Linked DNA regions of Schizosaccharomyces pombe. The gene in region 1 interacts genetically with each later gene. Each region holds a gene or a part of one and is shown on either strand. Other genes may lie near its edges.

Evidence for each region. A genetic interaction does not mean that the proteins touch.
Region 2: mutations in car2 (region 1) and lys3 impair growth when combined (synthetic growth defect), as found in Schizosaccharomyces pombe (one study listed by BioGRID).

What each region holds. Positions count from the first base shown.
Region 1 is NC_003423.3:3,808,495-3,812,755, forward strand, and holds car2 (ornithine transaminase Car2), read right to left. Parts: upstream 2,356-4,261; 5' UTR 2,234-2,355; coding exon 917-2,233; 3' UTR 565-916; downstream 1-564. Other genes in the region: trm140 (tRNA (cytosine) methyltransferase), read right to left, coding at 1-113, 171-301; acylpyruvase Oaa1, read right to left, coding at 2,880-3,498, 3,648-3,694; rib7 (5-amino-6-(5-phosphoribosylamino) uracil reductase), read right to left, coding at 3,968-4,261.
Region 2 is NC_003424.3:528,470-532,532, reverse strand, and holds lys3 (saccharopine dehydrogenase Lys3), read right to left. Parts: upstream 2,255-4,063; 5' UTR 2,012-2,254; coding exon 905-2,011; 3' UTR 552-904; downstream 1-551. Other genes in the region: NLI-interacting factor-like phosphatase Psr1, read left to right, coding at 1-101; SPOM_SPAC227.17C (uncharacterized protein), read left to right, coding at 2,367-2,732; GINS complex subunit Psf3, read left to right, coding at 3,762-3,860, 3,908-3,966. UniProt on the Schizosaccharomyces pombe protein: Catalyzes the NAD(+)-dependent cleavage of saccharopine to L-lysine and 2-oxoglutarate, the final step in the alpha-aminoadipate (AAA) pathway for lysin biosynthesis.

The sequences.
Region 1 (4,261 bases):
ACCTTTCAGGATGTGTCATATAAGCATCCTTTTCGGTTACAGGATATAGTTTTTGTTCCTCTATACATTTTTTGGCCAATGCTAAATGCTCATCATCCCATTCTACATGATCCCTGAACAATTAAAGTAAATTAGTACTATGCAATTCATATGAACTTGTTTAGTATTACCACGCATTTTGCTCGAAAACATCTTCTTCTTCTGTGAGCAGACGACCCCCAAATGATTCATTAATTGAAAAAGTTGCTTCTCTTACAGAAGAAGTTTTTTTCTTCTCAGAATTATCTGGTGTTGTATCCATCTATGACCAATAATTCTTTAATTCCACTTGCAGTGGTTTCTACTAGGTACTGGTTGTTGATGAAAACGTTTCATATGCAAATGATGTGAGGATTAAATGTAAAACAGAATGCCAAAGTTAATCAAACGTTACTCTTAGTTTAGCTTACAAAAGTGGTTTCGAACTTGTGGTAATATGAATTTTAACTTCAACAACTATACATTACATGCAGTACGGCAAATAAAGCGGACTATTGATATTTTCTGCCCACGAAAGTAAAATAATTTGAAATAAAAAAAAGAAATATAAATATTTTATATGAATCACTAAGCTATACCAAATTATCATTTTCATTCACAAAGGTATCCAATTGTCCAAAATTTTTTATTTTAACATCCCGCTAATTACAATAAATGGGTGCTTATATATATAATAAATTACAACTTTTGCTTGAGTAAAGTAAAAAACCACTTCCCATTATCAACAAATTAGCTTGTCAAAATCTTACATCAGTAAGAAACTATAAACTGATTGTTACCAATAATTACAGAAGGTCTGTAGTCATCGAACCCTTAACATTAGAAGGGAGGTAAGTAAGAATGAATCGTCTAGTTTTTTTGTTTAAAGCATTGTTTTTTAATGAATAGGCTTCTCAGCGTAAGGAGTCATATCAATGGTAGGAAGATCATTCAAAGATTTCTTAATGACTTCAATACCCTTCATTAAGTCTTCCTCGGTAATGACCAAGGGAGGAGAGAAACGAATGATGTTACCATGAGTAGGTTTGGCCAATACACCACGAGAGCGCATGATCAAGCAAAGATCCCAGGCAGTACGGCCATTGGTCTTAGACTCATCGATAACGACAGCGTTAAGAAGACCGCGACCACGAACCTTTTGAACAATAGGAGACTTGCATTCAATAAGAGCGGTACGGAATTTCTCACCCAAAACAGCAGCACGTTCAGTTAATTTTTCTTCCTTAACAACCTCCAAAGCAGCAATGGAAACGGCTGCACCAAGAGGGTTACCACCATAAGTAGAGCCGTGAGTACCAGGTTCAAAGTTGAGCATAATTTCACGAGAAGATAAAACAGCACTGACAGGATAAACACCACCAGAAATAGCTTTACCCAGGATAACAACGTCAGGCTTAACGTTTGAGTGCTCAATACAAAGCATCTTACCGGTACGAGCAACACCAGTTTGAACTTCATCGGCAATAAACAAAACATTATGGGCCTTACACAACTTGTAAGCTTCCTCAAGGTAACCATCATCAGGAACCATGACACCAGCTTCACCTTGAATAGGTTCAACCAAAAAGGCAGCAACCTTAGGACCAAAGGTGTCAAGGTAATATTTCAAATCTTCGATATTGTTGTAGCGCAAAACACGGTCAGCACCAGAAATCTTAGGGCCAACGTTGGGCAAGTAAGGACCATAGTTATCGCGAGCATCGGGATCAGTTGACATGGAAATAATACCCATGGTACGACCGTGGAAGTTGTCAACGCAAGACAAGATGATAGCCTCATCAGTGGGAATTTTCTTAGCCTTGTAACCCCACAGACGAGCGAGCTTGCAAGCAGTTTCGACGGCTTCGGCACCAGTGTTCATGGGAATGACCATCTCGTAGCCGAAGTATTCAGTGATGTATTTGGCGAAGGGACCAAACTTATCATTGTAGAATGCACGAGAACTAAGAGTAACTCTTTGAGCTTGTTCAACTAAAGCTTCAATAATTTTAGGATGGCAATGACCTTGGTTGACCGCAGAGTATGCGGACAAAAAGTCAAGGTATTCTCTTCCTTCAGGATCCCAAACCTTAGCCCCCTTAGCCTTGGAGAAGCAAACGGGCAAAGGATGATAGTTGTGAGCAGCATACTCGTTCTCAAGAACCTCGATTTGCTCGGTAGAGAAAGTGTTATGTAACAAAGATTCGGCTGACATAATGAAGAATTTACTAAGACCTAAAGAAAACTGATTCAAGATTACACAATAATCTCTTAACTCCTTTGATAATCTGACTTTGCCTTGATGTTTACTCTTTTTCAGATTCGAAGATCAGACTTGGCAAATTCTTGGTTCGGCAATGCTACTAATATATTGCCTTATCTCGTACGAGCTCGATCTTATATGTACTTTTAAAAGTAGTCCTTCACATTCCTTATACTTATTTAATGAAAATTTCCAATAATGGAGTCCGCGGAACTTGGGTGTTCGGAGTTTGTATGGTAAATATGCAAGAGAGACGAAGTGCAAAACATGTGTGTGAGAATTCATTAACCATGAGAAATCCCTTATTGTTGCTACCCTAAATTTTTTCTATATGCGTTTTACTACCGGAAACGGTACTTCGAGTAAATCTGGTATTTAAAGAAGGGCTTTTCCATATAAGATGAAAAATATTAAATAGCGCAAAGCGAAAAGAGGTGTAAACATGACTATAGTCGCTAATTAGTTTATTTCAGGGATTGTAACCAAATAAATCATATGTTGAGAGCAAGAAACAATCTTCATGTAGAAAGCAAAAAAAAGTTGTTTTGTGTGGTAAAAGAGTTAACAAAGCAAGCATAAGTTGCATGTTTGTAAATATTTAATCACATTTCTCTGCTTTGATTTCAAATTTACTAGGAATTATTTCCTGCTCCTGCGCAGTAAGCAACCGAGCAGACAAAATATCTCCCGGTACCACAGGACCAACGCCCTTTGGAGTACCTGTTAGCACCAAATCACCAGGATTCAAGGACATGGCCTCAGTGATTGACGAGAATATTTTAGGAATCTTGTTTAACATCAGAGATGTACTGTCCTTCTGGACCACCTTGCCGTTAAGTGACAATTCCAGAATGACATTGTGGGGATCAGGTATAAGATGCTTAGGAATGATGGGGCCAACGGGTAAAAAGGTGTCATAACCTTTCGCGAAGGACCAAGGGAGACCTTTTTTCTTCGCTTCATTTTGTATGTTTCTAGCGGTCATATCGATTCCTACAAAGTAGGCTCCAATTGAATCGAGCCAGCTATTGGAAGATACTGGACGTCTGGCAGGCAGGCGATCCTTCATTATCAATCCTAGTTCAACTTCATAATGAGCAGATACATCGGGAGGAATTATTAAGTTTCCATGGCCAGGTTCAACAATGGCACTAGTAGGTTTAAGGAAAAAGAAAGGTTTGGTGGGGAAGGGGTTGTTCAACTCACGAATGTGAGCACTAAATATAAAATTAGTATTCTACTTCAAATGTAAAATAAAAGTTTAAGATCCTCGACAATTCAGTGACGTTTTGGACCTTCAGCTTTTTTGATTCCAAGTAACCATATCTTCGAATCATCAATAAATCTTGAACTTGTAACAACGTACGCATAGTTTCTTCCAATACAAACAACCTTGCCGGCCCGTGACAACATGGTTGACAATTTTAGTGAGTGACTGTAGTATTCGAAAAATATGGGTAGCTTATAAGTCCACGGACTTTAAAATTTTTCAGGTTGACTGGCGGATTGAAACTGTCTTACTAGGGTACAGCTTTCAACTTCGCTATTTCTGTACCTAAAATTATAAATATGCAAAATCAAATAAAGTTGATTCAATCTGTTTAATAGGTAAAAGCCTTAGCGAAAAAAAATAGATACACCGTTTCGGTAATTAAATATTCCAAAAGACTCCCGCTAAGGAGTTTACTAAATAGCGTCGGAATTAGTTAACAGGCTTTTATAGGATTCGTAAAATTCATCGGAATAATTTGTGAAAATCACATCTGGTCCGCATGGATACCAATGGGAATTTGTGGTCAAGTTTAAATTATTCAAGTTTTTAATTTCCGTCGTATTGGAACATGAAAAAATTTTGGGAACAATGGTAACCACATAAGCATCAATGTCGGTAGACCCAAAAGCTTTGGCTAACAGCTCTGCTCCTCCCTCAACCATGATTCTGTTTACACCATTTTGCAACAGCTTGTCGAGCGCCACATA
Region 2 (4,063 bases), on another chromosome or scaffold:
TCAACGATATGCACGATATGGAATTAATCGATTTAATTCCATTTCTTGAACATCTTGCTCGTGTTCCAGATGTTAGTACTGTCCTTAATCTTCAGTTATAATGACTATTGGAAAATTTGTGGCTTTGCGAAGCCTTTCCATTATCTTGGTTTCTACTTCACGACGAAATTTTCATTGAACTTGAACGGTTTCTTTCTTTTTTATCTTTTATTTAATAAATTTTCATCGTTAAAAGGTCTCAAATATGGTTTCATGTTGTTATAAATGCTATTTTTCTTCATTTGGCATATGATTGATCCAGAATCAAAGATGTTTTATTGACGTTTACATGCTTTATTTCTCTTTCCCCTTGTTATGTCCGTCGACCTACGAAAACCTTGCTATTGTACATTTTACTATTTTTTAAAAGAGCGGAACCATTCTTTTTTAAGCCTTTTTGTTCTAAAATTAGATTTTTTAAGAAGTGCTACATTATGATTGTTACTAAATCTTTCCAATGCCAAAGATGTCTGTGCCTATAATTTAACTTCGTAAGGCAAGCAATAAATATTGGGGAAAGTTTCAAGATTTATATTTACCATATAGGTAAGTGGCAAATGCAGGATGAAATCCTGTTTCTTAATTATTAATCAATGACCGGCGAAAAGTATAAAGGAGGTTTGCAGAGAAATGTGTATATTATCATATTTAAATTAGTCAAATATATATTGTAACGTGAATAACAAATCAAAAGGTAGTATTATGCAACACCGCTACAATTTAACAAGTACGTGGAAAAAATGTCCAGAGCATCGAAAATGCCGTCTAAATTGTATTCTAAAGTTAATTTTTGAGAAAATAATATTCAATAATTTGGTGAAACAATATAAAGGACCCGGAACTTTGAAATTAAATAACATTTATTTTAAAGCTTTTGAACCATGGTTTCATAAAGTTTTTTAGCTCTGACCCAAACGGGAGCATTGTCGACGTCCTTCAAAGCCAAAAGACTAGGAATTAGAGCTTCACTAAATGCTTCGGAAGATTCCCTTGGCAATAAAGTAGGAAGATGATCAATAGAAATGACCTCTAAAGGAGGAGGAGTTGTGACACCTTTAACCTCAACTGTAGGATGATCAAATGTAGTGTTTACATTATAAATTGGAATAGGATTGTTAGGATTGGTAGTGTCACAGCTAACATCACAAACAACACGCAATTTACGGTTAGGTACATTTAACGACTCGACGGTACAGAATTTGGGAATAGGCATGCTCAGATAAATGCAGTTAACAAATATGTCTGATTCCGTAATTTCGGTAAAGGGACCACCCTTCTTAGTTTCATTAATGTCCCAGCGAAGAATGTTATCGAAGGGAATACCAATCTTTGATGCTAAATCGCACGCTCCAGTACCACAACGACCAAGAGCCCCAATAACCAGAATACGAGGATACTGGTTGTTATTCTTTTTCAAAGCTAAACGTACTTGACGAGCAACATGGCGAACCAAAGATTTTTCGTTGGGGAACGGACGGATAGCAGGGAATTGTTTGTTAGGATGCAATAATTGATGTGCCCAAACTAAACATGAGATAGCTGATCCAGCAAAACCAGCGTGGTAACCAAAAGCGGCAACACGTCTGCCATTGTCATCTTGCAAAAATTCCAAATCATATAGAAGACCATTGCCAGCGGGGAATCGGGACAAGACTTCACGCCAACCTTCCTGGTTTTTGTAGCAATGAGCAAATTGAATATGAGTATGCTTCAAAGGACTGTTATCATTTTCCGGAAGCTCTTTGAGACCAATAATGTACGCGTCCTTAGGTGCATGTCGCCATGAGCCCTCAGGAACCATGGGGAAACCAAGGCGCTCAAATTCTTTGTCCTTGAAAGCACGTTGGGAAGAGCGCTCAATGGTAATTTGAAATCCAGCATCGGCGAGTATCTTGGCAGTTCTAGGAGTCAAAGCACTGCGCTCTTCTAAAGGTTTGGTTTCAGCACGTAACCAAAGATGAGGAGCAACCATTTTGGAACAGAAAATTAATTAAATATATATTTTTAAATCGAAAAAGTATTTCAACGTTTTTAAAAACTTCCCTTTCTAAGTTAGTCAAAAAAATTTAAACTAACAAAATGAAGACGTGGCGAAGGAGACCAAAAACTTAATCAAATAAGTTTATATACTGCAAATTGGCAAAATAATATAGATCAATCTCGATATAAATGAGATCAAATTTGATGCGGTCAATTTACAGATCAGCAATGATATGAGCAGAAGGGATCTTGATGGATCTAATACGCTACACAGGTTCAGTGGCAGTCACGTTAGCTACCTATCCTAGGCACAATTCACTTGATTTTTACTAGTATGCTTTTAAATAATGAATAATTTTAAAGAAAATGATGAAAAAAGCACTTTTGGTCAGTATGCGGAACTAGATAAAATACTCGACTTGAAAAAAGGGATTCCTGAGGATCCGTGTAGTTTACAGTATTACTTTGACCAAATGGCCATGTGTTTAACAGTGTTCTCACAAATGAATCATTACTATCGTTATGGTGAATACAACAGATGTAAGGGAAATTTTAAAGACTTTAAATGGTGTCTGTCAACCAAGTCGAAGGCTCACGAAGAGGCTCAAGAAGGGCTTCGTAAGCGGCGTCTTCAGCAGTGGATGAAGTTTAGGCAAGGGCCGAATAGTGAAGACATTTGGAAGATGCGTACTTCTCCAAAAAGTAGTGAATAAGTTTTTAACGTTTCGTGCTGTGTTCACCAAACGTCGATATCAATTCTTACGAAGGCATCCATTTGTTGCGTATAACATTGGGGGAATAGCATATTTGATGATGTCTTGGATGTAAAGTTCCTGTATATCCTAGTCTGCTTAACCTTTGAAACTAATTGTTTATAGTTGGCGGGGTACTTCTATTTAATTTACCTTCCAAGTAAACTCTGAGTTCTCTTTAATTTTATGAGTAACTAATTAAACGAACAACAAATTGTTGCTTTGATTTTACAACATTGTTTGGCAGCAGGTTGATTATTTACTCAGGTAAAGATTGCTGATAAACTCGAAGGTGTTGACATCTAAAGTATGGATTAAAGCGTATATGACTTGATGAACCTGTTGATGAAACTTGGCGAATAACTTATGAAATTTGGCCTATGTCGGTGTTAAAACCTTTTTGCATTTGGAAATGACATACTAAATAATTAATACGCAAAATAATTTTGAATACAATGCAATCATGTTTTGTAGATTACGGACTAAAAATCATTTAAAAAAATCAGTTTTACGGAAAGATTGTGTAAATTTTGATCGCATAATGAGCAAGTTTCATAAATAGGTATAACATTCAAACAAGCATATGCGTTTCTTTAATGAAACTATAGAACAAAGTTTCCTTTTTTTAATAAAATTTTTCGACCAATTTCAGAAGGACGAATATACACATGTATGACATACTTTTCGAGTTAAACATTGAAGCAAATTTTTAGTACTCGAACATACAATATTTATCAGCACTAATTTTTTGAACTAGATGCTCTGTTAAGAAAAGTAAAAATAAATCTTTTTTATCTCTATTTTTTTTGTTGATTAGTACTGGTGTAATTACAGTTCATTATTTATCCACTATATCTTAGCCAACTCAAATTTGAATTTATCGTTGCATCTACCTACTTTTACCTTGTAACTGCAACTTTTCTAAATGAACATATTTTGATAAAATAACAATAACACTTCTATCATTCCTTCTGCTCAGACATTAAAAAAATGGATTACTATGATATTGATAGTATCTTGTCTGAAAATCAAAAGGTTCCATGTACTAGTACAGTTTCCATTCCAGGACTAGGCCATGAAGGGCGTATGGTTAGTGAAGTTTATAAAAATAGAACTTGACTTTCTAAACAGTTTAGGTTCCTACGGGCTCTAAAGTTGAACTTCCTTTTTGGCTGGCAGAGGTTTTAGCAATTAAGTAAGTAAAGTTTTTTTTTTTTTTTGGTTTTTTCTGCATGTTACATTATATACATGTAATGTCTTATAGAAAATTGGATAATTTTGCTTATTTGCTT